7 linked regions of the Kluyveromyces lactis genome follow. Each later gene encodes a partner of the first gene's protein in a complex. Links are inferred from orthologs where the notes say so. Each region holds a gene or a part of one and is shown in the gene's direction. Other genes may lie near its edges. The genes, in order: MRP51, MRP10, RSM24, MRPS17, MRPS5, MRPS18 and NAM9.

What was found.
Region 2: MRP51 (region 1) and MRP10 share a complex: the UniProt entries of both Saccharomyces cerevisiae proteins name them as parts of the mitochondrial small ribosomal subunit. The link is inferred for Kluyveromyces lactis from reciprocal best matches to the Saccharomyces cerevisiae genes MRP51 and MRP10.
Region 3: MRP51 (region 1) and RSM24 share a complex: the UniProt entries of both Saccharomyces cerevisiae proteins name them as parts of the mitochondrial small ribosomal subunit. The link is inferred for Kluyveromyces lactis from reciprocal best matches to the Saccharomyces cerevisiae genes MRP51 and RSM24.
Region 4: MRP51 (region 1) and MRPS17 share a complex: the UniProt entries of both Saccharomyces cerevisiae proteins name them as parts of the mitochondrial small ribosomal subunit. The link is inferred for Kluyveromyces lactis from reciprocal best matches to the Saccharomyces cerevisiae genes MRP51 and MRPS17.
Region 5: MRP51 (region 1) and MRPS5 share a complex: the UniProt entries of both Saccharomyces cerevisiae proteins name them as parts of the mitochondrial small ribosomal subunit. The link is inferred for Kluyveromyces lactis from reciprocal best matches to the Saccharomyces cerevisiae genes MRP51 and MRPS5.
Region 6: MRP51 (region 1) and MRPS18 share a complex: the UniProt entries of both Saccharomyces cerevisiae proteins name them as parts of the mitochondrial small ribosomal subunit. The link is inferred for Kluyveromyces lactis from reciprocal best matches to the Saccharomyces cerevisiae genes MRP51 and MRPS18.
Region 7: MRP51 (region 1) and NAM9 share a complex: the UniProt entries of both Saccharomyces cerevisiae proteins name them as parts of the mitochondrial small ribosomal subunit. The link is inferred for Kluyveromyces lactis from reciprocal best matches to the Saccharomyces cerevisiae genes MRP51 and NAM9.

Annotation. Positions count from the first base shown.
Region 1 is NC_006042.1:88,057-92,445, reverse strand, and holds MRP51 (mitochondrial 37S ribosomal protein bS1m), read left to right. Parts: upstream 1-2,235; coding exon 2,236-3,294; downstream 3,295-4,389. Other genes in the region: KLLA0_F01012g (uncharacterized protein), read left to right, coding at 4-1,674; imidazoleglycerol-phosphate dehydratase HIS3, read right to left, coding at 3,519-4,184. UniProt on the Saccharomyces cerevisiae protein: Component of the mitochondrial ribosome (mitoribosome), a dedicated translation machinery responsible for the synthesis of mitochondrial genome-encoded proteins, including at least some of the essential transmembrane subunits of the mitochondrial respiratory chain.
Region 2 is NC_006041.1:1,177,439-1,181,159, forward strand, and holds MRP10 (mitochondrial 37S ribosomal protein mS37), read left to right. Parts: upstream 1-2,011; coding exon 2,012-2,299; downstream 2,300-3,721. Other genes in the region: NPC2 (sterol transporter), read left to right, coding at 363-884; succinate dehydrogenase assembly factor SDH5, read left to right, coding at 1,201-1,692; FAD1 (FMN adenylyltransferase), read right to left, coding at 2,446-3,390; MTF2 (Mtf2p), read right to left, coding at 3,721-3,721. UniProt on the Saccharomyces cerevisiae protein: Component of the mitochondrial ribosome (mitoribosome), a dedicated translation machinery responsible for the synthesis of mitochondrial genome-encoded proteins, including at least some of the essential transmembrane subunits of the mitochondrial respiratory chain.
Region 3 is NC_006040.1:1,522,254-1,526,599, reverse strand, and holds RSM24 (mitochondrial 37S ribosomal protein mS35), read left to right. Parts: upstream 1-2,198; coding exon 2,199-3,110; downstream 3,111-4,346. Other genes in the region: histone acetyltransferase NGG1, read right to left, coding at 1-1,850; HMO1 (Hmo1p), read right to left, coding at 3,765-4,346. UniProt on the Saccharomyces cerevisiae protein: Component of the mitochondrial ribosome (mitoribosome), a dedicated translation machinery responsible for the synthesis of mitochondrial genome-encoded proteins, including at least some of the essential transmembrane subunits of the mitochondrial respiratory chain.
Region 4 is NC_006040.1:1,090,227-1,094,276, forward strand, and holds MRPS17 (mitochondrial 37S ribosomal protein uS17m), read left to right. Parts: upstream 1-2,244; coding exon 2,245-2,943; downstream 2,944-4,050. Other genes in the region: KLLA0_D12760g (uncharacterized protein), read right to left, coding at 202-1,683; putative rhomboid protease RBD2, read right to left, coding at 3,143-3,958. UniProt on the Saccharomyces cerevisiae protein: Component of the mitochondrial ribosome (mitoribosome), a dedicated translation machinery responsible for the synthesis of mitochondrial genome-encoded proteins, including at least some of the essential transmembrane subunits of the mitochondrial respiratory chain.
Region 5 is NC_006038.1:1,001,430-1,005,816, reverse strand, and holds MRPS5 (mitochondrial 37S ribosomal protein uS5m), read left to right. Parts: upstream 1-2,124; coding exon 2,125-3,009; downstream 3,010-4,387. Other genes in the region: cytochrome oxidase assembly protein SHY1, read left to right, coding at 3,390-4,387. UniProt on the Saccharomyces cerevisiae protein: Component of the mitochondrial ribosome (mitoribosome), a dedicated translation machinery responsible for the synthesis of mitochondrial genome-encoded proteins, including at least some of the essential transmembrane subunits of the mitochondrial respiratory chain.
Region 6 is NC_006041.1:672,901-676,926, forward strand, and holds MRPS18 (mitochondrial 37S ribosomal protein YmS18), read left to right. Parts: upstream 1-2,109; coding exon 2,110-2,727; downstream 2,728-4,026. Other genes in the region: serine/threonine/tyrosine protein kinase MCK1, read right to left, coding at 1-887; RPL25 (60S ribosomal protein uL23), read left to right, coding at 3,506-3,518. UniProt on the Saccharomyces cerevisiae protein: Component of the mitochondrial ribosome (mitoribosome), a dedicated translation machinery responsible for the synthesis of mitochondrial genome-encoded proteins, including at least some of the essential transmembrane subunits of the mitochondrial respiratory chain.
Region 7 is NC_006037.1:1,005,843-1,010,792, reverse strand, and holds NAM9 (mitochondrial 37S ribosomal protein uS4m), read left to right. Parts: upstream 1-2,224; coding exon 2,225-3,673; downstream 3,674-4,950. Other genes in the region: peptidylprolyl isomerase FPR1, read left to right, coding at 1-326; EAF7 (Eaf7p), read right to left, coding at 625-1,833; SRV2 (adenylate cyclase-binding protein), read right to left, coding at 3,880-4,950. UniProt on the Saccharomyces cerevisiae protein: Component of the mitochondrial ribosome (mitoribosome), a dedicated translation machinery responsible for the synthesis of mitochondrial genome-encoded proteins, including at least some of the essential transmembrane subunits of the mitochondrial respiratory chain.

The DNA of each region.
Region 1 (4,389 bases):
AAAATGACTGAAGAATGTTTAAAAGAAGTTGCAACTTTTTCCAACCTCTCAGATCCCACAAGAACGAACAGTATCGATACTACAGCTGATGTTACTCTTCCCAAAAATGAGTTAAAACAGTCAATTAAACCGTTTCATGTTTTCATGATGTCTACTGCAACAGGTATTGGGACCGGTTTATTAGTGGGGAACGGTAGATCAATTGCTATTGCGGGGGTTGGTGGTACTTTAGTTGGTTACTTAATTATTGGTATTATGTTGACATGTTGCATGCAAACTGTTGGTGAGCTTGTTGTTGCTTTTCCAAGTATGCCTGGTGGGTTTACATCTTATGGAAAGCGTTTCATAGACCCGTCTGTGGGCTTTACCATTTCTTGGTTATTTTTTCTAAATTGGACTGTCGTTTTGCCATTAGAAATATGTGTCGCTTCTATGACTATCAACTTTTGGAACGAAAATATCAATCCTTCTATCGTTGTTGCATTATGTTATTCCTTGGTATGCGGGGTGAATTTCTTTGGTGCAAGGTGTTATGCGGACGCTGATTGCATTTTCAACTGTTTGAAAGTGCTTATGATCCTTGGGTTCATAATTTTAGGTATTTTCGTTAACACTGGTGTTGTCGGCACTAGCGGATATTTGGGTTTCAAATATTTCCATAGTCCAGGGTTCTTTAGAAACGATGAGGGGCTTTTCAAGTCAATTGCTGCAACGTTGATAACTGCCTGCTTTAGTACCGGTGGTACCGAGTTTGTCGCCTTGAGTTGTGCTGAACAGAATACAGAAGACATGCCAAGAAGTATTAAAAGGGCGTCAATACAAGTTGTTGTACGAATTGCCATCATTTTTTGCGTTTCTTTGATGATTATTGGATTATTAGTGCCCTTTAATTCCCCATATTTGATGGGGTCTGGATCAGAACTGACCCATGCATCTCCATATGTGGTCGCATTAACAACCAATGGTGTTAGGATAATACCTCATATTGTTAATGCAATTATTCTATTGTCTATTATTTCTGTCGCAAACAATGCGATGTATAGTAGCTCAAGAACATTACATTCCTTAGCTGAACAAGGATTTGCGATGAAATATTTTTGTAAATTGGATGAAAGTGGTAAGCCGTTTAGATGTCTTTGCGTTTCAGCATTTACTGGTTTATTTTCATTCATAGCCGAATATAAGGACCAGGAAACAGTCTTCGTTTGGTTATTGTCAATCAGCGGTCTTTCCACTATCTTTACTTGGAGTATGACCTGTGTGTCTCATTTGAGATTCAGAAAGGCAATGAAAGATCAAGATCAAGCTTTAGACCAATTAGGATATCAATCACCATGTGGTGTATATGGCAGTTACATCTCGTTGTTTATTTGTGCCATTATTTTGATAGTACAATTTTGGGTATCATTGTTTCCTTTAGAATCCAACGGTAGGCTGAATGTCGTCTCATTCCTTCAAAATTATATGGCTGTTCCAATTACCATCGTACTTTACCTTGGTCATAAAGCTTACACAGGGAACTGGAAACCTTTTATTAGAGCACCTGAGATTGACATTCAGACCGATCGTGACATCTACTGTGTTGATGAGGTTACTGGAAAAAAATCAGTTTTTGTTGAGCTTCTGGATAGCGGAGACATGTGCTCGAAACTATCTGATAACCTTGTCAAGTAGTACAAACATTTCTACGAAACTGAGGTTCTCATACAGTATCGACTAAACCAAGGAACTGTTGATATGAAATTATTACGAAAAAATGAATAGTTTTCTGTAGTAAACAATATAATAAATAATGCAATTGAAAAAAAAATTTAAACTCAACACCGATTTCTGATTATGGGAAACCCCTCATAGAAGACTTATGTTATACTGGTGCTGATCTCGTTTTAAATATTAGCATCACTTAAGAAACCATTCTTCCTTTAAAATGAGTACTAAATGTGACACTTTCATCAATGGTCTGTCGCAAGTCCGGGTAAAATGTTACGTTTCTAATGATAAAAAAATTTCGATATCATTGAATAGCATTCAATTCGATAAATCTTAAACACAGCTCAGCTACTGATTTTGACTGAAGAGCTAAATTAGTTCCTATCGTCGACTATTGTGACAAGGTTCCAAAACTATCAGCAATTCGTTGAATAGATAATTCACTTTTTGGGTTTAAACTGGGCTGTTAGTCCTTAGCTTGAAGACAGATATACTTACTGAATTCACAATTCGAAATAGAAAGCTATGTCCCATATATCTAATTTGTTAAAAAATTCCAGGATAGCACAAGTGGCAAAGACGGACAAGCCATTGTTTCGTCCAGGTAACTCTTCTCATCCAACTCATCAAGTGATTGAGACCAAGCCATCCTCCTTATATCGTCAGGAATGGGGTTTGAAGGCAAGCATTCCATCGAAAATCAAGACCAGATATTTGGTTTACAACGATTTGGACACCCAACAAAGACTAACGACTTTTGAACCAATGGGTCAATACCAGTGGAACAGAATCAGATTCCAAGAAATGGGGTTAGCCCCTCGTTACGTTGAAGAAGAATCCAATCCTCTATTCAATGGGAAAACCAAGAGGGCCGGAAAATACGCGCCATTCAGCAATGCTGTGAACATTGCTCATAACACTGCGCCTTCTGAAAAGACAAGAAAGTTGAAAGAAATTGACCAACACAGATCAGAATTCAAGAAGTGGCTGTTAGAGAAACACCCGGATTCCATTGCTGGTGTTAGAAATGAAAACACCAGACCTTTGAAGGCTTTAGCTACTGAATTCTTACATGAAAAGATGGGAAAGTTGAATATTAATACAGCAGCTAACTCGGAGTGGCACATTGTGGGCACCGGTGGTCTAACTTACAACTTGAAAGGTAGACTTAGACAATCTCCAAATGGTGTAAAACAAAAGCACGTTGTGCCAGGCAGAGTTTTATCTGTCCAGGGACCTGATCGCGCAGTCGCTGTTGGTGGTTTCATCGCTGAAGCTAAATCTGTGGGCCGTAATCCTCGTGCTCTACAATACAACATGGGTGATTTTGTCAGACAAGAAGTTTTACCATTTGCCATTGAAGATCCAAAGGTAGAAGGGGGTAATGTAACATTGTCTGCATCTTTAGTAGAACCAAGAAATGACTTCAGTTTTGCTCAGAAGATCGGCTTAGGTCAAAGCAGATCACATTATACCAGATCCGATTCCAGAAACTCTTCAAGAAAAACTGTAAGATCTGTCACCGCCGAAGAATCTAGATCTCAAAGTGAAGAGTTCCTAAACTTATTAAAGACAACCATGTAAGTTGATATATGGTAGGTATTACACAACCATAGCTAGAAGTCACTTGTAAATAAAACGTAATAAATACAGTCATGTTACGCGGAAGACGGAGCTGTGCGTCAAGCGGTTAAGGGCCGTGCTCGTAACTTAAATGGAACAAAATGGATGAATATATATTTGATGTAAACTTAAAATGAATGTCGCGCATATGCAATGAGAGTCCACTCCTTTCTTGAAAAGGAATTTTACATTAGAACACCCTTAGTAGAAGGAACGTCGTTGGTTCCGTTGCTTGAAATAGCCTCTTTGATTGCAATGGCAAGTGCTTTGAATGCAGATTCACTTCTGTGATGGTCGTTAAAGCCTCTCAAACAATCAACGTGCAAAGTTATTCTCGCGGCTTCAGCAAAGGACTCCAAGAAATGAGGTATCATCTCGCATGAAAGGTCACCGATCTTTTCCCTCTTCAACCCCAACTCTATTACTGCGTATGGTCTATTGGATAGATCCACAACAGCACGTGATAAAGCTTCGTCTAATGGTGCATATCCTGAACCAAATCTTTTCACACCACGAACATGACCCAAAGCTTCCTTAAAGGCTTGGCCAAGAGCAATACCACAATCCTCGGTGGTATGATGGTCATCGATATGCAAATCTCCAATACATTCAACAATCAAAGACCAGCCTGAATGCTTCGCAAGAGCATGAATCATGTGATCTAAAAACCCAACGCCTGTCTGAATATCAATGATTTGGGATCCAGTTACCTGCTTAGCAGCATCGGATTCCTCCCTTTGTAAAATAGAGTTCTCAATAGAAATTGGTCCACCATTCAATGAAATGGCAATTTGAATCTTGGTTTCATTCGTTATTCTAGAAACAAAAGCTTTTCTTTCCGGATAAGTCATTTTTGGTTGACAGTTCTTTCTCGAGGAATTCTTACAAAATGTGCCAAATATGAACGATGGTAGCAACTTTTAGGCTTCTTATAAGTACACAAACTAATGTTGAGGCCAGTTACTTTCTTTCTTCTTCCAATATACCTTTACGCTTCTGTCAATCTACTACGATAAAGAAATGAATCATCTTCTGGAATATTTTACAAATAAAGAA
Region 2 (3,721 bases), on another chromosome or scaffold:
CTCAGTCTGATAATCGTATTTCAGCCGCTCGTTGTTCACCCCTTATCCTTTAGACCTTATCTGAGACTTCGAGATGAGAAAGTCACAATTTTAAAGGTTTGTTGGAATTCGAAACATTTTGTTTACATCACGCATGGGAAACAACAAAAAGGAAAGGGAAAGAAAGATAAAGCAAGAGCAACAGTTCAGCCTTTACAAGTTATATACCTGCTCATAGACCAATTCAAGATCTTTAAGATATCTACAAGGACTCACTAAGGCCTCTCGTTATTATATCAAGTCCTGAAACCTTCATAAACAAAAAAAAGAAAAGCTAAAGCAAACTCCCCTTATCTCTAAAACACCCTGATTGAACCACCAAGATGCGTTTTTCTGTTGTAACCAGTTACTTATTATGCGCTGCTGCATCGTACGCTAATGCAGCTTCTTTATTCGGATTAAGTTTCCCAGAACCACCATCAGCGAACAAACCGATCCCTGGTGACTCTCCTTTATTGCAATGTGATGTTGACCAATCTCAATCGCTTGATGTTACTCAAGTAAACTTGGTCCCCAACCCACCACAAAGAGGTGAGAATTTGACTATAGCTGCTGCAGGTGTCCTACAAACCACTATCGAAGAAGGTGCATACATCGACATCGAAGTTAGATTAGGTTACATCAAGTTAATCTCACAAACCTACGATTTGTGTGAACAATTGGAGGAGAACGACATCGACGGATTGAAATGTCCAATCGAGGAAGGTGTCTACGAGTTGAACAAGATCGTGGAGATCCCTAGCGAGGTGCCACCTGGCAAATACTCTGTCATTGCTAGAGCTTACAACGTCGACGATGAACAGATCACGTGCCTAACTGGTGAAGTAATCTTCCCAGCGTACTAGACACACCTGTCACAAAGGCTACCTGTCTCTCACTGACCTTACCCAGTGTGAGCCAAGTATAAGGTCTCCTCCTATAGCGACGTTGCAAAGCTGTGGAGTTCTAGGTCCATGTACACGTGACCGAACCGATTACGGCACCTTTTTACCCGTCTTGCTATATATAATATTAATTGAATCACAATTTGAATTGGTTGATCTCTCTCCTCCGTTACCCCAGGTTAGGAAGAGGTCCTAATTTGTATTACATATATCTAGTATACCCTCCTCTATACTATCCCTACCTGTCCAGTCAACAAACGACCACTGTCATCTAATAATGCTAAGAACTGTCTTCAACAAACCATCAGTGTTGAAATCTGGAGTTAACTCGATTACAAAGCAATGCCGTTCTCTTCACGCAAATGCTTACTTGTTGAACAAGGGCAACAGCAACGGTGCTGAGGGCCAAGATGACGATGTCACGGTGAGAATCAGAATCCCACCTATCAAGAGAACCGGCGAGTCTCTAGACAAGAAGCGTGCTAGATTAATTTATCAGTCCAGAAAGAGAGGTATTCTGGAAACAGACTTACTTTTGTCACGTTTTGCTGCTAAGTATTTAAAGGAAATGACCCCAGAACAACTAGAAGAGTACGACCAGTTGTTGAACGAACTAGATTGGGATATCTACTACTGGGCCACAGAAAACTATTCCATTACACCTCTTCCTGACAGATGGAAGAACTCCAATATTCTAAAACAATTGCAAGAGTTCAGTAAGAACAAGGATCGTGAAATCCTAAGCATGCCTGATCTTTCCAAATACTGAACATCAGCGGTATACGTACTTGCCAATTAAGCAACAGTATAGTCTATAGCTCTTATTTTATACCCATATGCTCTCTCTCCCTCTGTCGCGGCAGCTCATCATTTCCAGGGCAGGCCCAAGTGAAAAATTTAACCCGTACACCGCATACTTAGATCCAACATTGGCGAAAGTCTCAAAAATTTTGTTAAGATCATAAAGAATGATATCGTTTATATGATGGAAAATATCATAAATGTAGTCGCGTAGTCCGTTCTAGAGGTCTTGTAAGGTCGTGTTGCGAAGGGTACGTCCAAGATATCAAGTGTTCATATATTAAAGCATGTCCAGTAAGACTCCTCTTTATAAATTACCACCTCTTCCCAGACTTAAGGTGAAAAAGCCAATTATTCAACAAGAGGCTAACAGATGCTTGGTATTGATGTCCAATCTATTACAATGCTGGTCTTCTAACGGACACATGTACGGTGCATGTGAGACATTGGCCCAAGATTTGAAGGCATGTACCGCGGAAAATGCCTTAGGTAAGAACCAAAAAGTCCAGAAGAGTAATATCAACTATCATGCTGCTAGATTGTACGATAGAGTTGGTGGAAAATCTCATGATTAGAAAGAAGCAGACAGACTTTCTCCCCCTTCGTTATCACTTGTACATAATACCATTTTCTAATATTACATATATCATCTAAAATCAAGGAATTCACGATTTATTAAATATGATAGAGATTTTTGTAGCTATTTGTGAGTGGATTCATCTCAAACTTTTCTGGCGAGTCTGCCAGCTCTTTCCCACTCGTCTTTCGTTAGATACCATCCCGGATGGAACTCAGATGAATCATGCTGTTTGATGGTATTAAGGTCATTCTCGTTAATTTCGTTACAATGCATGTTAGAATCTCCTCTGTAATTGTTTTCAATTTCCCATTGGAAATCGCTATGTTCAGTCTCGGCCTTTGTCATGGAGCCTATAGGTTCTGGTATCCGTAGGTATGGATTTCTCAATGTGTTGTTTACACTGCCCAATGAAGTGAATCCCATCTCATATAATCCGCATACTTCTTCTCCCGAATACAATAGGAAACTCCATATCTGTGAGAGATTCCAATGTAGCAACGGTTGCAACCTGTAGAACTGGGGCCAACTGGGGTCCGTCTTTTGAATTGGTTGCAACGTCTCCCCAAATGGATCTGTGTGTCTAATGCCGATTACTATTGCCTGAGTCTCTGGATGTACCGATAAGAACGACTTGAAGGCACTTGGCATATCGACCTGTTTATCCTTCGCTGATTCGTATAACGATAAGTGATATCGCTCCACGCTCCGTTGTAAGAAATCTTGTGCCGTAAGAAAGGTATCCTCTTGATCAATGTATACAGTGGGTAGTTGCTGCAACGGGAACATGTGGAACTGGAGATCGTACTGTGATCCCTGTATTGACATGAGGAAAAATTCCCATAGACATCCCAGATATATGATTAGCAACACTTGACAATCCTTGCCACCGTTGTATGAAAATGATATCTCGCCATTGAACGGATCCCATCTAGTGAATATATCCTGCAGAAGGTACCGTCTACTCAGCTGTATCGATTCTTGAGTCTGTTTTATTACATCTCCGGTTGTGGCTACGGCAGATTCGGCATCGATCGATAAATACGACTGAACGATGTTGTAACAGTTCAGGGCAACGTCTTGCAACATTGCAGAAAACGTATCTGTATTATCGGTTCACACTATCTGATCTTTAGCGAAGTCCTAGACTTCTGCATTTACGGTAAATTGAATCAAAGTATATTGTAGTTGTGTCAAGAAGGTTTATAAAACCTCGAATTGCCTTTGAACGATTTTCATCACATAAGCCAAGAAGATTGAAAAGAGGTACAAAACAAAACCATTCCGTTTACCATCCGAATGATACCGCTCGTGACTTTATGTATTCACCATCAGCTACATTTATAGGTGTATTATCTATATTATCTTAATTATTTACATTGTTAGCTTGTTGTAGTTGGTCTGGCAAATCTGTTTTCCT
Region 3 (4,346 bases), on another chromosome or scaffold:
ACATCTGCTTCTTCTTCTTCCTCATCTTGGTCTATATCCTTGAATACGCTATCTCTTGGAATACGCTTCATGACTTCCGGTTTGTCAAACAAAGGACCAATCTTGCTTATCCATCTTTGTCTCTTATCCAACAAAGATTTTAGACTCGAGTTAGCGGCTTGTTGGTGAGCTGCCTGAATAGCTGCCTGAGATGTTGATCCGGTTGCTAATGAATCCGGCCCAGGTGTATATTGCCTCTTTTTCTTATTTTTCGGCGCACGAATACGTTTGATATATGCTTGGTCAACTTGCTTATCAAGATTGTCCAATATGGTACAGTACTCTTGCCATGCGAGCATCCTCTCCAATAACGGTAGAAGCATTGCCTTTCTTTTGGTATTCTTAGTAGTCACTTGACGTAGTGTACTCTGCAGCTCTCTTAGTTCAGCACTAATCTCATCATCTTCCCTTCCGGTCAACCAATCCGGGTCTTCACGTGTTTTTCCTTCTTCTCTCGGTAGATTCATATATATACCAACATACTTTAATTCCCTTTTCAAGCGTTCCTCAAAAGAAACATAATCAATATTGGAATTGTTTGCAATCGCTCCATGTTGTTTGAATATCCCGTATGACGAGGAGGATGATGGGGTAACATGTTCAAGCTCACTTACTGGTGTTGATACTGATGAATCGAGTGTGGGGTTTGTCGGTAATTCTTCCTTAGGAGCTATAATATCATCATCCTTCAGTATAGCACTCAAAAGCCTTGAGACTAGCGGGCCACAAGACACTTCTTCATTGTCAAGTACACCATCCGAAATGTCATTCCCTGATTTCTTAGGCAAGATACTAATAGGATCACTGATAGGTGGAGGAGTCAGATTCGCAATGTTTTGATTATTGTCTTCTTTCAACCACACGTCTGTGTATAGTGGTCCTAATTTAGGAATTGTGTATGGAGTCACTTCGGGGTCATAAGATTTCACAAACTGCAAATTTTGTGGCATGATGAATTTGTTTTGAAGGAATTTGATATCGTCATCATTGAATTCTCTGTAAAAGGCCTCGATGGATGAGAGAAAAGTATTAAACTGAATTTGGTTTGTGGGTTTAGGTTTCGAGAAATCCATATCAGGCAGCTCACCGGGTAGAAGTTCCTTTAAGTCATTTGTAGGATAGCTTACTACCCCGTATTTCTTTTTCAAATATTCCTCACCAGTAGCTTCAAGACCCTCCTCTTGAAACAAACCTAATCTCATTGCAGCAGCAGGTAACGTTTGAGATACTACAAATTCAGACTTGGGGTTTCTAATGTTAGGATCATTTTCCATTTTATCAATATCTAGCTTTGCTTTCTTTGATATGTGACCATCTGATGATAAAACTTCCGCTTCTTCAATAGTATCTTGTGGCCTTTTGTCTGTCTCCTCGTTCTCTTCTGTAATTGATCTTTTATCCGATACGACTTCGCTAGATTCATCAAGTTTTTTATTAATTGAATCATTTTCTGCGTTCTGGGCTGCAAGGTTTGTTGCAGCTTCTGCTTCCTCCTTCTCTTTTTGTTTCTCATCTTCGAGCCTTATTATATCTTCCCGCATTTCCTTGATTAGGTCTAAATTCTCTTGATCACTAGCTGCAATTTTCTCCAAACATTTTCCTAGATTTTCTAGTTGATCTTTAGTTGTTTGCAAAACCGGTTTCTCAGGAACCGACCTCACGTATTTACCGTTCAGTAAACCTATGTCATTCTCAAAAGTCAAGTCTAAAGACTTCAGCATCGAATTTAGAATATTCGACGGTTCATGTAGCCCAGCGTCATCTCTTTTCTGCTCTCTTATTCCTTTGCCTCTTCGCGTATTCCTTGACATAATATACCAGTGGTGTTTTACTGAGTGAAGATCTGGTTTAGCAATCTACTTGATTCCACCTTTGTCCACTGTTGACTATCGTTAAAAGATAGGCTGCTTTCCAGCTTTGGCAATATTAATGACTTTGTTCTGTTTGTTGCTTCGTTGTTTATCTTCCGTTACTTTGACAGATATTTTCATAGAAAATTTATTATCACGTGACCTCCGCCTTTTCTCTGCAAAAAATTTTCCAAGTTTACCAGAAATACCAATAATCCTCGATACAACACCAATCGGAACCAGAGAAAGCCAATTATATTCAAAGTGTTAAAAGGTCTGCGATAACGTAATCATCTTAGGCACTCAACAATGATTACTGGTGCTAGCGTGCAACGTACTGCATTCTTTTGTAGTAGACGTTTAAACTCCACCGTTACGAAAGAAGTTGCGACCATTTCCTCAACACTTTACAAGGATCCATCGAAATGGATCGGTTTGGATAGTAAAGATATCATAACGTTGCACAATGAAAGAAAGGCAAGACTAGGGCCCCTATATAAGCCTTGCGAAGAAGAGTTGAAAGCATTGTTACCCACTGCCGAAGCGTCTGGAATTCCAGCAAAACTTTTCAAAGAGTACTATCATAAGACACCTGAAGAAGTTGAGGCAGAAATGGGCATTGCAAGAGGTCTAGACGAGCATGTCAACTTGGATCAATATCAGTTTGATGATTTGCCATCACAATCACAAATTTTAGTTCATCAACATCGTGAACAACGTTTCTACAATCGTTTGGCAGCATTTGAACTTCCTTTACTTGCGCAGTATCGTCAAGAATATAAACGCCCTTCAACAAAGACTCATCCAGTAGCTTATCGTTATACAACATATCTTGGTGAAGAACATCCAAATTCTCGTAAGGTTGTCTTATCTGTGAAGACATCGGATCTCGGCTTGGAACAGAGGGAACTGCATAAGCTGCGTCTATTGGCAAAAACACGTTATGATTCTACTACAGATACTTTGAGAATGTCTTCTGATCGCTATGAAGAACCAGCTCAAAATGCAAAGTACTTAAACAGCATTCTTCTAGAATTACTCAAGGAGGCTAAAGATTTGAAAGACGACTTTGCTGATGTTCCTCTCGATAAAAGACATATCATCGCAAGACAATTGCGTAAGAAAAAGCGTGGGTACGAGTTCCCAGAAGAGTGGAAACGTCCACAAGATGCTCCAAGGAAAACAGTGGATCTTGTTGAGCTATTACACAAACAGCTTTGATCAACCTTTTAAAACACACAAAAACAACTGTAAATAGCCATATACGCACAAATTAATGACCAATTTAATTGTATAGCAACAGCCATCTATTCGTTAAAGGGTGAAAAGACAAACCTTACATATCTAAGATGATAGCTACTTCAACTGTAGATTTAGTTGATCAGCAATGCTAAATGAGATTCTTTCAAACTTGTCACCGAGTAATTCAAAGAAGTAAACTGACGGCGGAATATTTGAAGAAATTTGGCACTGCATAGATGCATTGTAGATAAGTTATACGTTGACTTGACATTAAAATATACCACTCATTATTTTGGCATAGTATTTGAACAACGTGTGTACGAAAATAAGGTCCATGTACTGAATTGCACGTAAGTGTTTTACAAATTAAAGGATCAAAGATTAATTTCAATTGGGAAAGAATAAAAATAAGTGAAGTGATATGAAAAATTTGAAACAATACCACAAAGAAAATCTTCAATTACTCCACAATGCTTCCTATAGCAGCTTGTGCTGTGAAGATCATCCCATACAGATTAAATGTATTATTCTTATATTTCTTGTATATTATTACACATTGTTACAACTATTTTTACAAAGAAAGAAAGAGTGTCATCATATATATGTATGAAGCATTATATAAATCCCAGCTCGTTAGTCCTTAGATTTGTCTTTTCCCTTATCCTTCTTCTTTTTCTTCTTTTTCTTTTCACTGGAAGCATCTTCATCATATGGTCTTTTTTCAATATGGGGCAAGCCGAAATCTTCGGCAGATTGCAAGTAATCAGGAAGTGGAACAGGGGCAGAATTTGGACCTTCATTTAATGTTAAGGTACCATTTTTCTTAGCTTCCAAGTATTTTTGTTTTTCCCTTTGATAATTTTCTAGTTCTGCGTTGTACGCTTGTTTCCATTTGTCTTTCTCAGAGTCTCCTAAGTCTTTCCACTTCTTTGAAATTTCTTGAGTGATTTCAGTCGAAGACAATGGTGGGAGACCAGCTCTTTGTCTTTCATCACGCAAAGCTTGACGAACATACGCAGAATATGCAAAGAAGACGGTAAGCGGTTTCTTTGGAGCATAAGGATCACGTGGAATCTTCTTCTTGACAACCTTTGCAGCTGCGTCAGTGGTGGGAATTTCCTTCTCATCTTCAATAGGGTTTGTTAGCTCAGTACTAATGGAATTCAATTGATTCGTAGAAGAAGTTAACTTCTGTAACGCCTCTGTCAAAATAGT
Region 4 (4,050 bases), on another chromosome or scaffold:
TTAGATAACCATATCTCATCGATTCGGCTGCCGATGGCCTTTATCCTGTGGTTTTGACTTGGCGAAGGGTCTGATCTTCGGGTCAAGTGCGCTTTTCAAGTCAGAAAACGTGTCGAGCAGAGTCAGAAATCGGGGAGGATGTCACGTGATTTCATTCATTACACTAAAGTACTATATAAAACGCTGAGCATTATTTACGTATCACGTGTTCAAGTTGATCGCCGTGAAGGTCTTACCGTTAACGGTACCTACATGGGTACCAGAAGGGTTGAGGACCAGGTTGTTTGCCTCGGTTTCCGTGGTGTATGCCATCTGTGGTGTGTCTACAGTATGTACGACGTTTTGGTTGTTCCATCTCGCGGTGTTGGACGAGGTTTGCCCCAGTAGAGCGCTTGTATCCCAGTACAGAACTTGGCAATCGTCTCCACAGGAGACAAGGACTCCGGATTTCTTTGGATGCCATTGTACTTGGTTAACAGGTCCAATGTGGCCCTCGAGGGTAAGCAATGGGGTTCCAGGGTATCTCATGTCTAGTACGATGATGGCGTTACTGTCCTGTGCGACGGTGACGATGACGTTTGGATCGAAAGGATTTGGTTCGAGGCGCACCAACGCGTTGGAGTGTGGTTCTGGGTCCATTTGGTCTACTGTATCCTGGGAATTGCCATGTGGTATGAGTGTGCTAGTGCCCGAGGTACCTGATGTACCTGATGCGGAAGTGTTGGCAGTACCGCTGGCACTGCCAGCGGTACTGCCAGTATTTGCAGTAACTTTCGTGGTTGCGTTTTTGTTTGGACCATCTGCTGCTGCTGCTCCACCACCGCTGGAGCCGCGTGAAGTCTCGTTCCCGTGATCGTACACGATGGTACTGTGTGCCAGTGATCTGAGGTCAAACACTCTGACGGATCCATCACCACCGCAGCTGGCAAACAACTGCGTCGATTGTGCCAAGAATTTCACGTCGAACACTTCGCTATCATGTGCAATCAATTGCGTCTTTACGTAGTTGGTAGAGTTCGAAAGATCCCATACGGTACACGTCGTGTCGATGCTACACGATAATAGTAGGTTAGGGGAGATGGGACTCCAATGGAACGATGTGACGGGTGGGAGTTGGCCCAACGTGACAGTATCCTTTTGAGACGCAGAACTAGGGTGTTTCCCGTATTTGTATAAAGAAAGGTTGATCTGTTCCTGTAAACTGCCATCCAACGACCATATCCTTAGGGAATCCGAGCATGTTGCTAGTCTTGTATTGTTTTGAGGCATCCATTGGATCCTGGATATAGGATAAACCACGTTAGCAACGTTGGTACATTCCCATGTAGAATAATCGTTCGATCCGTTGATGATCTCTATTCTATTGTAGGAATCTTCCTTATATGTCCCCAGGGCACATTGATCGTTCTGATTCCAAGAAAGCGCGAAAAGTGGAGCGCTGGACTGGTACTGACATGTCGTTACCGTTTTTAGCTTGTCCAATGTATAGTTACTATTCCCACTCCCCAGTCCCAACTGTTGCTGTTGCTGCTGTTGCTGCCCATGTTGTAACTGTTGAGAATGGCCTTGGTTTGGTCGCTGGTAGAAATTAACTCCGTTGTTCCCTACATTGTCTAACAGGTTCAGTTGCCTTTGATAGCTTCCAAATGAGATACTGGACCTTTTACTATTTCGATAATCCATGATTAATGGCTAGTTTTCCTTGAAAAATCTTTGAAATAGAAATCCTCTGTAATTTAAATGTATATCGCAGTGTTTTGATTGGTCTTTCTGGTATCGTAGACCCCTTCAAACCCCTTCTCTCGGTTAGTTTCGATATTTAAGGTCATGTGAAGATTCTAAAACAGACCAATCCTTTAATTTTTATGGCCAGAATGTTAAGCCGTTTGCCATTCTCAAGAGCAACAGGAACATGAAAAAGGGACATTTAGCGTCCCACATTGCCTTATAACATTCTAATCTACCCACGGACGTTTCAAACTGGGCCAAGTGTGCTAAGAAGTAGTTTAGTTCTATAAAACCCAAGACTAACCTCATACCTCCATATTCTTGGTGAAGAACTAAATCACGTGATCTATCATTAGAAACGGTGGTGATCTTTCCAACATCAAAAAATTTTAAAGCCTTGAGGCCATGAACGGTTAGGTCGATGCTGTTAAAAGAACAATAGAGCAGTCTAGTTAGCTCTGTGTCAATTGGTTCGTCGATACCACTATCCAAGAATAAATTAGCCCACCTTCAACCATGGCTCGTCAAAATTTTATTGGGATGGTCATCTCCCAAGGGAAGATGCAGAAGACTGTGAAAGTTCGTGTTGAGACCAAAGTTTTCGATAAGAGAATCAACAAAGAGTTGTTCCATAGGAAGGATTATTTGGTTCATGATGAATCTGAGGTTTCTCGTGAAGGGGATTTAGTACGTATTGAAGCTACGAGACCTTTGTCCAAGAGAAAGTTTTTTTCCGTTGCTGAAATTATCAGAAATAAAGGTCAACAATTTGCTTTATTCCAAGAACAGGCCAAGATCAACGTTGCCAGCGAGGAAAACGAGAAGACTAAGGCCTTTTTAGAAAGGAGAGAACGTAAACAGGGTGTGGAATCGACACTTTTGAATGATGTTCGTGTATTACAGAAGGCTTATACAGATGGTACCGAGGATTCTGCCGCAGTTAAAGAGATTAAGAGCCGTTACGGAATTGATAAGTTTAGTCCGGAATCCTTGAAGCAAATATTACAGTTGGATATTCTCAAGATTGAAACCCAAGTGAAACAACAGCAGCAGAAGATCGATGCTATTACAGAAAAATTGGCAGAGTATACCAAGAACGAATCCTTGGCTAATGAATTTTTACTATCGAAAGGTTTGGAGAATCCTCAACTGTTGAAGAAGAATATCAAGAAGAACATCTTGAGAAAGCACATACTCGAGGAACTCAACGTATGAGAGAAAAAGAGGAATGACAGAAAATAATTAAAAAGGATGTTTCCCTATGTATATAGAATGAATATAATTCTCCCCGCCGCATCGAAGTAACACGCATGTAAATATAATTATCAATATTTCAAAAGTTGGGTTTGAAGAAAAAGAAGAAGAACAGCAGATGATTTAAATCTCTAGTATCTAATTTCTGAGGATTCACATTTCAATTTCCCAAGACTCTTCCGTTTCCTTGAAATGTGGGCTCCGCTGGAGTATCCGTATTATGCAAGGGCAATCTGGATTCTGACCCCAGGTAAACGGAAGTATATTCAAGTGATCTGTCCACTTCAACTTCCCTATAGTACTTAATACCGAATGGGATCAGATTGATCAATGGATCGACCCATGTTTCAATTTTCTTCAATACAAAGCTTGGTGGAGTAATCTTGGCTACCCAATTCTCTTTCAACCCCATGAAGTATCCTAATAGTAACCCAATTGCATGACCTGGTAGACTAGAACCAGGCGCCAATAGAGCAGTAACGAATAGTAATGCTACTGGGAAGTATAATGTTGGGAATGAAAAAGTACTGGTGATCATCACTGAGTTACGAACTCGGGATTCTTTCACAGCAAAGTATCCCAAGAAAGAGAAGAACCAACCACTTGCACCACCGATCTCGACATTGGGGAATAGCAAAGAACCGATTAAACAGTATGGGATTGCAGTAAATACGGCTAATAGATTCAATATGACACCAGTGTAAAGAGTTCCATGGGATTCCTCGAACATCACAATCATAGAGAAAGTCGAGATGACATTGAAGAACAAATGGAAAAATGAGAGATGAGCCAACGGGTACAACGAGATTCTGTTCAAATCAAACTTGAATAGTGAATCAGGCTTTAGCAGAAGGTGTTCATTGATAGGGTATACCAGATTGTTCACTAAGAACAATGCAGTTAAAAAGATACTGAGTCCTACTGCCAAACCGGATAAAGGTTTCCCGGCTGGAACGAAAAATTGCTTGATATTCATCAACTTAGTAATATCAGGATACCAGTATTTTCCTTGCTGATGAGGACCGGAAGATGCAGCTGTGTGGAATTCCCTGAAATGATTGAGATGAG
Region 5 (4,387 bases), on another chromosome or scaffold:
TTTCCTTCTGCATGACATTGGTTTGAATTTTGGTACCAGAAACACCTGTGATATGCCGAATGGTAGATAATATGAATCATTTTTACCAGATCTCATAGCTATAATATACTTTTCTTTCATAAGCTACTTTTTATAATCCTGACGCAATCCCGATAGATAGATGGGCTAACCGTTTTATGCACGAGGAGCGGCTGAACATTTCCGCCTGGCAAAAAATAAACTTCTTGACTTTACTTGATTGTTGAGCGTAACGCATATTAACATGTGCAGCACACATTGAATGTTTATAAAAAGGAGGTCAGGAGGACTGTTAAAGGATTTGATAGCAATTGTGTTCTCCCAAGTCTCATCCTAAAAATCTGACACCGTGAATTGCTACCCGACACACTATATGATAGTTTATGGGTACAGTAGAATTTACAATTTTGACCAATCAACCAAACTACGATCCCAGATCAATCATGAGTATGCTTTCGCATTGATAAAATTTAAACAGCGAAGAGCAGACAGCTTTGTTCAACGTCTGTTTGTCATTACAAAAAGTATATTCGCAACAAGTACTTCTCAAATCCGGCAGATAACACTGAAAAAAATACCTAGATAATAATATTCGGGTAACAATGAAAGTTTAAAGTGACGGAGAAGAGGAATGTGTAACGTTCTGGAATCGGAACGGTCATTTCTGGTATCTGTCGAGCATTTTATTTTTCATGCGAGGAAGAAGATCTGGCTAGAACCATTACTTCTTGTCAGAGAACGAAAACGCTGCATTAGAGAAAATATTAAGAGAATGCTACTGCACGTATTGGCAGGAAAAATAAGAGGAAAAGAAAACTTGCAAGGCCAGGTGGTTTCCTTTCTTACCATATGTATATCACTGCTGGGTAGCGTTAGTAAATGCATTAGTTTGTCAATCTACCTGCGGCATGGAATTTTCACATGACGCACAAGTAAATCACTATTGATGTCGCATTGCCACTAGGGATTGGTTCCAGAAAACATAACTTCTTCCGAATTGATTTCAGATTCTACCTCCATCCATGTGAACGAGTATTTCGTTCCAATATTTTTATATAAATTAACGAGTAACTTATATGGTAATCTTGTCAGATAAGTGGAGTTGATTTCATTTGGAAAGAGAACCAACAGGATTGGTATGTCTCATATGAATTTATTCTCGGACCAAAATTGAGAAAGAAAACATCTGCAGTTTTTCAAAAATTCAGGCATTTTGGGATTACTCTCTCTTCATGCAGGGCAAGACACCAGATCATCTTTATTCTATTGGTCTTCATGTTCCTGCATAACTAAATACTATTTGTATTTAGTTCATTATTTCCTGTAGATAAAGAATCTTTCTAAATGGGTTTTAAAACATAGTAAAATATATACCTAAAAGAAGAGTCTTCGTGATATGAATGTTTCATCTTTAAGGTACTGAAAGGATATGGTACTAATATTGATTCTAATGACAACAAAGCCCGTGTATAACATTGCCAGCTGAAACATGTTGCTCCACTATGTATCAGAAGAATATGTAGTGTTTTGAAAAAAGATCTTCTCTGGAAATTGTATATAGCGATACTAAACCACTAATATAGATGTTTTAGTGACCGGCTTTATTAAAGCAGGTAAGTCGTTGTTTAAGCGACAGAGCTCAATATTGGATGAAACAGACTCAGAAATGAAACAAAAAAACATGTTACCCGGATAGCATTCCATATGATAGTGTCATCTACCATGTAAGGGTAAAGATGCGTGGAACATACCTGAAACATACTCCATGTATCCTCCTTTGAACGTCTGAAGAAGATTTTAAAGATGTGCAACCACTGCTAATCTTACCATACCTTAGTGGGTGGATCTTCAGCTAAGAATTGTGAATTTCTAATCACATGATCAAGAATAATGCTCTCTCATTTGTAACGATTGATCGATTTTCAAAAATTAAAAAAATTTCAATAGTTAATACAGAATGGCAACATACTCAGACATATACACCAGAATAAGGTCTAATATAATTGACACCAGAAGTCTTTTGAAGCAGGTTTAGACAGGTCGAGGAGCAAAATTCAACATAGTGAGTTGCAGCGTCTTTCTCAATAACCCTGATCGTATTTGAGAATGTTCGTCCGTTGTTTCTCGAGCACTGCTCGTGTATTTCAACAAGACCTGTTGAAGAAATACTACTCTCCAGAACTACTCAAGTCTATTTCCTTAGCTGATAAAGTAATTCCTGACAATGTAGAGTTCAAACCACAGACAAATGTTGAATTCTCACCACCATATTTGGATAACTTTGCCACATTACATCCTTATTGGGATTATAAACCAAACTCTCCACATCTACATTCAAGCTCATCTTCGGTATTCGTTCAAGAGATGGAAAAGCATCCAGATTTGACTCCTCCTGTGGGTTCATACTTACAAACTGAAGGCAGATCAGATATACAAAACATTGCCAATAATATCCAACTACAGACGGGGTTCGATGCTCAACATATCGCCAGAAAACTAGTGATGAAACCATTGATCTTAAAGATGGTTTCTAATCAAACTGCAAAAGGTAAAATTCCATCCTTCTATTCTCTTGTGGTTGTTGGTGATAAGAATGGTATGGTAGGAATCGGTGAGGGTAAATCCCGTGAAGATATGGCAGAATCCATCAAGAAAGCTCATTGGGATGCAGTGAGGAACTTAAAAGAAGTGCCTAGATTTGAAAAAAGAACTATTTTTGAAGACATAGACTATAGATACCACGGTGTGAAACTATTCTTGAGAGCTGCTAAGCCAGGTTTCGGTCTAAGAGTCAATCACGTAATTTATGAAATTTGTGAATGTGCTGGTATCAAAGATTTAAGTGCAAAAGTTTACAAGAGTAGAAATATCATGAACATAGCCAAGGGTACTATAGACGCTATCACCAAGTCTCAAAAATCTATAGATGAAATTGCTCTAGGTAGAGGTAAGAAAATTGTGGATGTCAAGAAGGTATATTACTCTGCTTGATTTCAACCAACTCCATATTTAAATTACTTTCACTTTTTCTCCTATGAAGAAACTATCTGAACAACCTTCACATGATTCAATTACGACCTAGATGATCATTCTCATAAAACAATCAATACTCAGATCTACGTAACCTTGTACATATTAATATCCCCACAACGTCGGAGTTCCAAATTCTTCTTCACGTGACTTTTAGAATATTTCACACTTTTCTGATCTTTAAAAGATTGGAAAATGAAGATGATGAAAGCAGATGAGTAGTATATCTAATCGCGTATAAACATGATTAGAAAAGCTTTAACTTCTTTGCTGTTACTAATTGTTCAAACGCATTTCAATTCTTAGCGGAAGCTACTAGTATCACACAATTAGCAAAGCATATGTTTCGCTTCATTGTGGCTAGGCCATTCACTGTACCAAAGGTAAGGCCGGTAAGACGACTTTATAGCACGGTCAGGACATCGACTGTTGACTGGAAACCTATCAAAACAAAGAAGACACCTACTGAAGGATTTCAAAAGAAGGAATCACGATGGGGTAAGCGTATTTTTCTAGGACTGATGATTGCCATGCCCGTGATCTCGTTCTACTTAGGAACCTGGCAATTAAGAAGATTGAAATGGAAAACCAATCTAATTGCTTCCTGCGAAGACAAATTAACCTACGATCCTATTCCGTTACCTAAAACGTTTACACCGGATATGTGCGAAGACTGGGAATACCGCAAGTGTACTATGACCGGTAGATTCTTGCATGATGAAGAGATTTTTGTCGGCCCCCGTGTTAGAGGAGGGATCAAGGGGTACGTTTTATATACGCCTTTCATCAGAAAGGATACGGGAGAAAGAATTTTGATTGAACGTGGTTGGATCTCGGAGGAGAAAATCGTTCCATCATCTCGTAACTTGCAACATTTGTCTTTACCTCAAGGCGATAACGTGACAATTACAGTGTTAGTGCGTGCAGCTAAAGATTTGACATCAATGCAATGGAAGAAGGAAGACAGGGAGAGTAGATTGTGGCAAGTCTTGGATATTAAGGATATGACAGAGATGACACATACTTCTCCTATTCATTACCAAGCTCTTTACGATCTGAAAGATCACCATTGGGATGAAGAATCAAAATCTGAGGGTATCGATAACAAAAACCAATCATCTTGGAAATTCTGGTCTAAAAAGAAAACCGAAACAGAACCACAACAAGAAGAATCCGAGAAACCACACGTCAACACGAAGAAAGTAAATACAGCAGATTCGGAGACAGGATTGGAATTTAACGAGTTCCAATTCGTTAAAGCGGGAGTGCCTATTGGTAAAGCACCAAAGATTGATTTGAAGAATAATCATTTACAATATTTAATTACTTGGTATGGGTT
Region 6 (4,026 bases), on another chromosome or scaffold:
AACAAATCAACACCATCTGGTCCAGCGTAGCCGAAATATTTCTCGAATCTTGCTTTTGGAGCTCCTTCAAATAATGGCTTGGAGAATAAAGGTCCATTGTACGATGGATTAGAAAAAAAGATGAACCTTTTGTCAGGAGGCCCGAGTAATTTTGTGATTTCATGTAGTTGTAATAATGGTTGATGGCCTTGGAATACTGCTTTACCTAAGAGCATTTCTCCCAATACACATCCTAATCCCCAAATATCTATCTTTGTTGTGTATTGTGTACATCCTACAATCAATTCTGGAGCTCTATAATATCTTGAACAGATGTAACTAATCGATGGTTGGTTCGATTCTAACTTTTTCGCTGATCCAAAATCACAAATCTTCAATATACCCGTTTGTGGATCAACCAAGACGTTTGAAGGTTTTATGTCTCTATGGCATATTCCTAGTGCATGTAGGTAAAGCATACCTCTAGCAATTTGGTAGGCGTATAGTTTAACGTGCTTCAACGGTAACTCCAAGTTATTCTTCTTATATCGTAAAATTTCGTTTTGTAGCATTTCGGGCAAGCATTCCATCGCCAAATGTTGGTATAATTTATGATCTGTTGGTGAGATATGAGTGTAGAAATATTCCAATTTGACAACATTTGGATGGTCCGCAATTCGTAAAATCTCTAACTCTCTAGATTTATACTCAGTCTGAGCAGGAACCTTCTTAATGGCAAAAGGACCCAACCACTTCTGATTATCCGGTGTTAGGTAAGCTTGCACCACCGTGCCAAATGCACCTTGCCCAATTCGCTTATATTCCTTTACGAGCATTTCTCGCTTGACATTGGATTTATTACTGATGACATCATGAGCCACGTATTCATCTAATCTTTGCATAGACATGGCGAATCGCAATAAGGGGAAAGAAGACAGATAGTAACAGATACAAAAGCGATGCGATATCTATCGAATAAGAAAAAAATTACCACTTTTTGTTCGTTGTATTTCGCTCAAGTCTTCAAATTACAAACTTCAACCGTTATTTTGCAAGCAAACCTTAGAATATAGATATGTTCCTAACGGATGTAACGTGGATGGTTCAGGAAAAAAAGGGAAATATTGAATTGTAATGAATCAATAAAATCTGTATTAAATGAATTGATGAAATGAAATCGCTAATATTAATAAAAGCAACACAACAGGGGGAAAACACTCTTACTCAAGCAAGTCAATTAGTCCCTTGCAACAAGTGATGCAGCAGTGTCTATAATGTTTCTTCGCAGTAAATTCTTCGCGCTGCAATCGCTCGGCAAATTCAACAACTAGAAGTTCCCAGAACTTAAACGTTTGAGCACCCTTAGCAGTGTTGTGTCCGTTATCAGAGACCCTATTTGTTACTTTGAAACAAGGTTCTGGTTTATTTTTTGTTTGTTTTTTCCTAATTTCCTAAAACTAAAATTGATTTTCATATTCGGTTTTCCAAGAATCTGATATCAATATGACTGACTGACTACTGACTGAGTTACACAATTATTGATAAAAGCGATATAAAAGACGTTCTAATTGAGGGAACGTTCCAAACAAAATTTAATTCTAAGATCTCCCAGAGCCAGCTTTTATGAAGTTCGACTCTGAGAGTACTACACTCTCTCTAGATATGAATGCACAAACGAAGTTAAATTGGCATTTATAGCATTAATGAGGAATTACTCAGGTTCAGGTCCTATATCCTCCACCTGAACTTTCTCTTGATTGTAGCATCAAGTTGTAGAAATGGTTTGGGGAATGCGAGGTGATCTTCGCCAGTCTGCATATAATATTTCTATCAAATGTTTACCCCATCGCATCTCGGCACTCTTTATCAACGTGATATCTTCCGCCAGTGGACTGCAGGCACTTCACATTAAAGGCTAATCCTTATACACCGGGTAATGACAAGTTAGTCACGTGTTAATGCAACACCGGGTAATGGTTTATGAGCATATCTTGAAAATGAATTGGGAAAACAGAAGATATTTAGAGTTTGCATTTCATAGAGGAATACTATTCGTCTGAGTATGGAGACCTGCATTCGAGAAAGACACAGGTTGTGGTTAATATAAATCGGCGTCGAAAATACACCACGATGCTGAGAACATTAGTGAGACTGTTCAGCTCAACGGCCAGGACAAACCAAGATGTGGCTTCCATCTTATTTTCATCTGTCAAAGGATCAGAAAAGGCTCCAGTGATGGAAGACACCAATGTTGTCCAACCTAATACTCTTCGTGGTAGCAATAAGAAAGGGAGAGTCGATGAAGCAGTGATAAAATATATATTGAACTGCAGATTCACTAAGAACAATACACATTTCACATACAGTGCCGTAATGGAGGATAGAAACTTTTTGGCGAACAATCCACAATTATCCTACAACGAAAAATATCTATACTATTTGAAACTCCCACAACAGGTCAAATTTCATTTATCTACTGGTCATTTAGGGTTCCGTAAAGCTGCCCGTGGTGAATATGAAGCCTCATTCCAAACAGCAACTAAGTTATTTGAAACTCTTTATCAGAAGAAGCTACTGGATAAGAATATAGAAATTGTTATGAGAGACTTCGGTAAGGGAAGAGATGCTTTCATCAGTGCATTGAACGGTAAGGAAGGAAACCTCATCAGACGTCACATATCTAGAGTAGCCGATGCTACTGAATTGAAATTCGGTGGTGTGAAGGCCCCAAGACCAAGAAGATTGTGATTCGGTCTCTCACCATTTCATCTTTCACTAATAGTCTCTGTGTATAGACATGAATTTGGAAAATAATTCGGTATAATAACAAATAATGCATGTATATAAATTTAACGTAACGCACCAGAATTTTCGTTTAAATACATTAAGACAGCAATTCGAAGTATGATTTCACACAATTATGACATTGCTCATGCCTTATAATCTCTGGATGCTAATTTCATCGAAGATTTAAAATTTTCCGGAAAGTAGCGGGACTGTTTTGTGGATGCACGGATTTGGCTTTAGATTTTTTGTAAAAATTGTTAGGTATTTTAGTATTCCATTTTAGGTAATTAAAATTTCAATTGGAGGTTCTAAAAAAAGGAAAGGCAGAGGAGGCGTTCCGGCTGCCAGGTTCTCACCGTTCTCCTTCTGTCGCTCCGTTCGAGTCTAGTCTTCCCAGCGAGAGGACTCTGATTCTGCCCACTCTCCCCTCTACTCGCACTGACATTCTGAGGTGCGTAGGCAGGAACTGCTGTCCATCCAGCCTATCATCCATTCCTTCCCTGAGCCTGGAGCCATATCCTGTACCTGCAAATCACAGTGCGATTGTGCTACCTGGCCAGGGATACCCTGTTCGTGCTGAATATTCCTTTCGACTACGGACAGTTTCGCTTGCGACCTTGTATCTGTATTGTTTCATCAAAAGTAATATTGAACGTTTTAAAGAATATTTCAATATCATTCGGTATTAGAGTACACTTGATTAGCATTCAAAGAGGCCGCACACAACCAAGACACAAAAATGGCTCCATCTAGTATGTTACTGAGATGCGCAACTGAAAGCTACATGCTGATAATGGTGGGATAACGACTTACCGCGGGCTGAACAAGTGAGAATGAAGATATTACCTTGAGAGTGTAATTACACACCTGTGGGAGCAAACGAATGGTAGAATAAGTACGCTAATGAGAAACCAACAATACGATCTGAATAATTGTACATGATATTACCTATGTGTGAACCTGTCATGAAAGCGGATGAACATCAAATGAAACGATGAACACAAACACGCTGCAATGAGAACATAAAGTACGAGTTATCAGCCTTTTAAATGATGGTTAAACAACTACTATTTCGATTAGATCCTTAAATTGGAATACTTTATCATGATACGTCGAAAAGTTACGATGCGTAGTTATACGGTTCATCGGTGTTTATGAGTTAAGTTTTTTGAAAACATGTTAAAAGGCCCACTCGACGCTTTCCCTGTACCGTTCAGAGCATAAAATACACCTTACATTTAATACACTTAAAGTCAATTC
Region 7 (4,950 bases), on another chromosome or scaffold:
GTAACGTTCAAATTCTAAGATTATCACCAGGTGACAGTACCAACTTCCCAAAACCAGGCGATTTGGTAACAATCCATTACACTGGTACTTTGGAAAACGGTCAAAAGTTTGATTCTTCCGTTGATAGAGGTTCTCCATTCCAATGTAACATTGGTGTAGGTCAAGTTATCAAGGGTTGGGATGCTGCTATTCCAAAGTTGTCCGTTGGTGAAAAGGCAAGACTAACTATCCCAGGCCCATACGCTTATGGTCCACGTGGTTTCCCAGGTTTGATCCCACCAAATGCTACTTTAGTCTTTGATGTTGAATTGTTGAAGATTAACTAGATGTATAATGTCATTCTTCTGAATAAAACACATACTATTAATTTCCTTCACATTTTTTCTTTGGTTTCTCCCTTGATTCCTTCCAATTGGTCCCATCCATTATTATTATTATAGCTTTACATCTTTCCGTACCTTCTCATCAACCTTTCAACATGGGAATTGCTATCAAATTGTAGCCGTAGTGTTTGTATGCTTCCATTTTAACATTCAATTTTTGTACATCAACGAAATGCCTATAATATAAACCATTAGCTATATTATGTTGTTATTGCATTATTGAAAAAACAATCAAGAACAACTACTTCCTGCTTCTAAGCCTGCTCGAGAGCCTTGTAGTTGGTTTTGTTATGGATTTTCTTCTTGTTCTCCTAGCTGGAGAATCCACGTCGGCAAGATCTTCAGGAACTTCCTCCGCAGCGGCAACTTTTTGTTTCTTAGGGCGCGGCTGTTGAGATGATTCCGTTTCGTTCTCTTCTGCTTTCCCTGTCGGCGAATTAGCTGATTCCTTGGCAGCACCTTCAGATTCATCAGCAAATGTGACTTGTTTTGTAGCTGTAGTATCTGCGGCATCAGCAGTCGATTCTTTTTCGCTACCAGATCTCCCTTCTGTATCGTGTTCGACATCTTCCTTTTCATCGGTGTTTCCGCCATGGGGTTGGTCTTCTTTGTTTTCACTTTCGTCATCAATGCCTCGCTTTTGTGAACGTGTCAACCTTGTAGAGCGTCTTGTCCTTGGTTTCTTATGAGCATCGACAGGTTCATCGACAGGTTCATTCGCCAGTTCGCTCACAGATTCTCCAACACTGACTGGCGGAGTGGTCGCCATTTCTTGTTTCGCCTGTACATTATTTTGCTCAGTATCCTTTTCATCGATATCCTTTTCTCGTTCCCGTGGCTCTTCTGACTCTTGTTCTACTTGCGTATCCTGTGATTCCGCACCCTTCAGTTTTGCCTTGTCATCCGCAGAAGCGGTCTCCTCTTGCTTAATATCTTCCACCTCATGATCCCTAGCATGTTCTAACATAAGTTCTCCATAATCTTCCCACGATAGTTCAAATTCCGTCTCTTGCTGGAGTCTATTTTGTAATGGTATTATATTTCTCTTAAGCTCGTCACAATTGTCAACATCATTGTCACTGTCATCATCATTATCTAGTTGAGCGTCCCCTTCTGTCTTTTTGTTTGTAGTTTCGGTTGGTCCGTCATCATTATAAAATTCAGGGTATGGCTGGTTCTCTACTTCATCTGCCTTCTCTAAATTATAGTACCGACTCAATTGTTCCCAAACGTCCTCCCCAGAAAACACTTTATCTGAGCTGCCTTTATCGCTTTGCAAAAGTTTGATTGGATACTGATCTGGCTTGTTCAATCGCTCAAGCAAACACACCATATGGAAGTGTTTATGTATTCCTGCAGGTTTGAACAGCATCATCCATTTAAACAGCCTTATTTCCTCCACTTTACTCCATGTTTGCCCTCTAGGTGATTCTATCTTTACAGCGGACATCGCAGTGAACCGTATCGTATTACTTTTATCTGAAGTATCACAACCTTATACACCAAAAGAACGTTCTTGCAATTGATATAATAAAGTTCCTATCAAGATCGCTGATAAAGCAGATCGTATGAGGCTTGATACCATCTTCGCCAGTCCATCTCAATATGGTTCTATGGTGTTTCTCATCTTTCTAAACTATGAATGCTAATATTTGATATCATATGTCACGAAATTCCTCTAAAAATTTTTCAATATCGGAAAGCTTCAAGCATTAGATAGCGTTTGATTGAAAAATATTATGCAGGTAGTTCGGATATGCAATGTATTTCCATTTCGAAGAGTCCGTAAGCAGTCAATTCTGGTTAGTTTTGTCAATACATTGTGAAGAAAAAGACCAGCAATGCCTAGGAAAGCTGTACTTCTGAACTCTTTGTCCAGAGGGAAGGTTCGTACCTCTTTTAACAAGTACAATTTGTTCAACTTGTATAAGAAATCTCAGGTCAGTTTTAGATCGAAAACACTATACCAACAGAAATGGACTTCTAAACAGGAAACTCGTGCCTACCATGGCGAACATTTAACAGAGAGTAGGTGGCAGTCTGTTTTCGAGCCTCAGCTAAACTCTGTGGCTCAATTAGATGCTTCTCTAAGGGGTGGTGATATCGAACCGACGCCCATTCTATTACAAACATACGCTGTACTAGAGAAAAGGCTAGACTTTGCTTTGTTTAGAGCTATGTTTGCCTCGTCAGTGAGACAAGCTCGTCAGTTTATTTTACATGGCAACGTCCATGTGAATGGTGTAAAGATTACTTCTCCGGGATATGCCTTGAAAGCTGGTGATGTTTTCAACGTCAGACCCGAAAAAGTGCTACAAGCTCTTGGTGCCAAGAAACCTAGCTTGAAGGAAGCTTTGAAAGTGGATAATACCCAAATTTTCCTATGGAACAAATATATTCTAGAGGCTAGAAAGAATCCTAGAAAGTTCTGGGATGAAAAGATCGAAAAACTAAGAACTATGGATAGTAACGATCCAAAGAAACAGGAATTTTTATCCTTCCTCGAAAACTACAACAAAACCATGCACATTCAAATGAGGAAAGAATTAGACCAAACCAGTAACGAGTATTTGTTAGCTAAGATCTTTTCTACCGTTAACCGCGTTAACGATGTAGAAAAATTGGCAGTAAAAGATTTCTTGGGCGAATTTTACAATAACGAAAATTTGGCAGCTAAAGGATTCGAAATTTATAGAGAAGTCAAGTCTGCCAAGGCTGTGGAAACGATAGCAGGGAAGCCTTTGGCTGAAATTCCTAATGAACAAGGTGAATTGCTAAAGGTGGCTACAGGAATAACTAAACCTGTTGATAACACAAACGATGCCTTAAAGAAAAAATTCAGAGCCATCAATCATACTATAGTTGATTTGAGACATTTCTATGAAACCGTGGTCAGAGAACATTATAATGACAAGATGGCATCCGTTGATTCTGTTGATATTCCATACGATGCTAAGTGGGCTGAAAAGTTACCATTGCATCAAAAGATCAATGTTCCTGAACTATTGGAAAACGAACCAGCTGCTCAAAAAGCTATCAATTTACCATGGCAAAAGGGTGTGTTTGGTCGTAACGATCCATCTAAACCATATTTCACTCCGTGGAAACCAAGACCCTTCTTAGCACCATTCGCCATTCTACCACACCATTTGGAAATATCATTCAAGACATGTCATGCGGTCTACTTAAGAGACCCTGTTGCACGTCCAGGTCAATCTGAAGTTATTACTCCATTCGGCTTACCTGTACATGAACGTTCATACATGTACTATGTGAGAAGGGGTAAATAAGTTGACGAAAACAAATACACACGAAAGAATGGATACACTGTGACTATGACAATTTAAAAAGAATGGTGTATCTTGGAAACCTTGTACATATTATTATCATTATTTTATCGTATCATATTATATTAATTATATATATATATTTATATGTTCTAATGAGTAAAGAATAAACTAACACCCAGTAACGAGAAGATATACTATTCAGATATTCAACCAGCATGTTCGTAAATCTTGGTTTGTAGTTTACCTTCGACGAAAGTGTGTATCATCTGTTCTGGAAGTGGAACTTCAACGAAGTCACCATCGGGACCAGTTGGAGTGTTGATGTTAATACCAGTGCTAGAAGAGGTGAAAATTTGAGCCTGTAAAGAGTTTTTACTCAAATAAATGGAGCCGCTATCAGACGCGTCGATGGTGATTTGTGGCAGGGTGTTTTCCACTTGAATACCAAATCTCAAACATTTAATAATATCCACACCACTGATGGAAGAATCTAGCACTAAACTGCATTTTTCTGTTTCATTGACAGTAACTGCGTTGACCTTACCTTTGATTTGTACCAATGTGTTGACACATTTACCGATGAAAACAGATTCGTCAATTTTAGTTTCGATCACTAACGGTTCGGCTTCATCTTCATAATTTTCAATAAACCATTTATTACCGATCAATTCCTTTCTTGGAGGCTTCTTAGTCTTCAGAGTAGATGGTTTCTTTGGTTTAGGTGGAGGAACAGCTTTGTCAGAAACCTTCCCTGAGGCACGAAGTTCTGGGTTCTTATGTGTTTGCTGAGACTTTTCTACTTTCTTTAAGGATTTAGTGATGTTTTCACCTTGGTTTAACTCAGCAAACACAGCACCGATTCCACCAGATTCTTGTTCTTTTGATTGTTCATTGACTTCGAATACGGAAGCCGGAGGAGGTGGAGGTGGAGGTGGAGGAGCTCCGGCGCCTGAACTATGCGGCTCACTGGAAGTAGCACCAGAAGAAGAAGCTCCGGATCCCTCGTTGGAAACTCTTTCGTATACGGTTTCGAAATCCTCACCAGTAGTGTCGTTCCAAGTCACACCTGTGGTATGGTATTCCTTAACGTACAGCTTCAAGCTATCGAAAACGGACAAAAATTGTTGGACCCATTCAACGGATTTAGGATCAGTGCTTCTGAATTCTTTCAAGATTCTATTTGTCCAAAACTGGGCAGCGTCCTTGAAATCAGTGATAGTAGACACAGGTGTAGATCCAGCAATCCATGAGAACAGTGGTGATCCCTCAGAGATAGC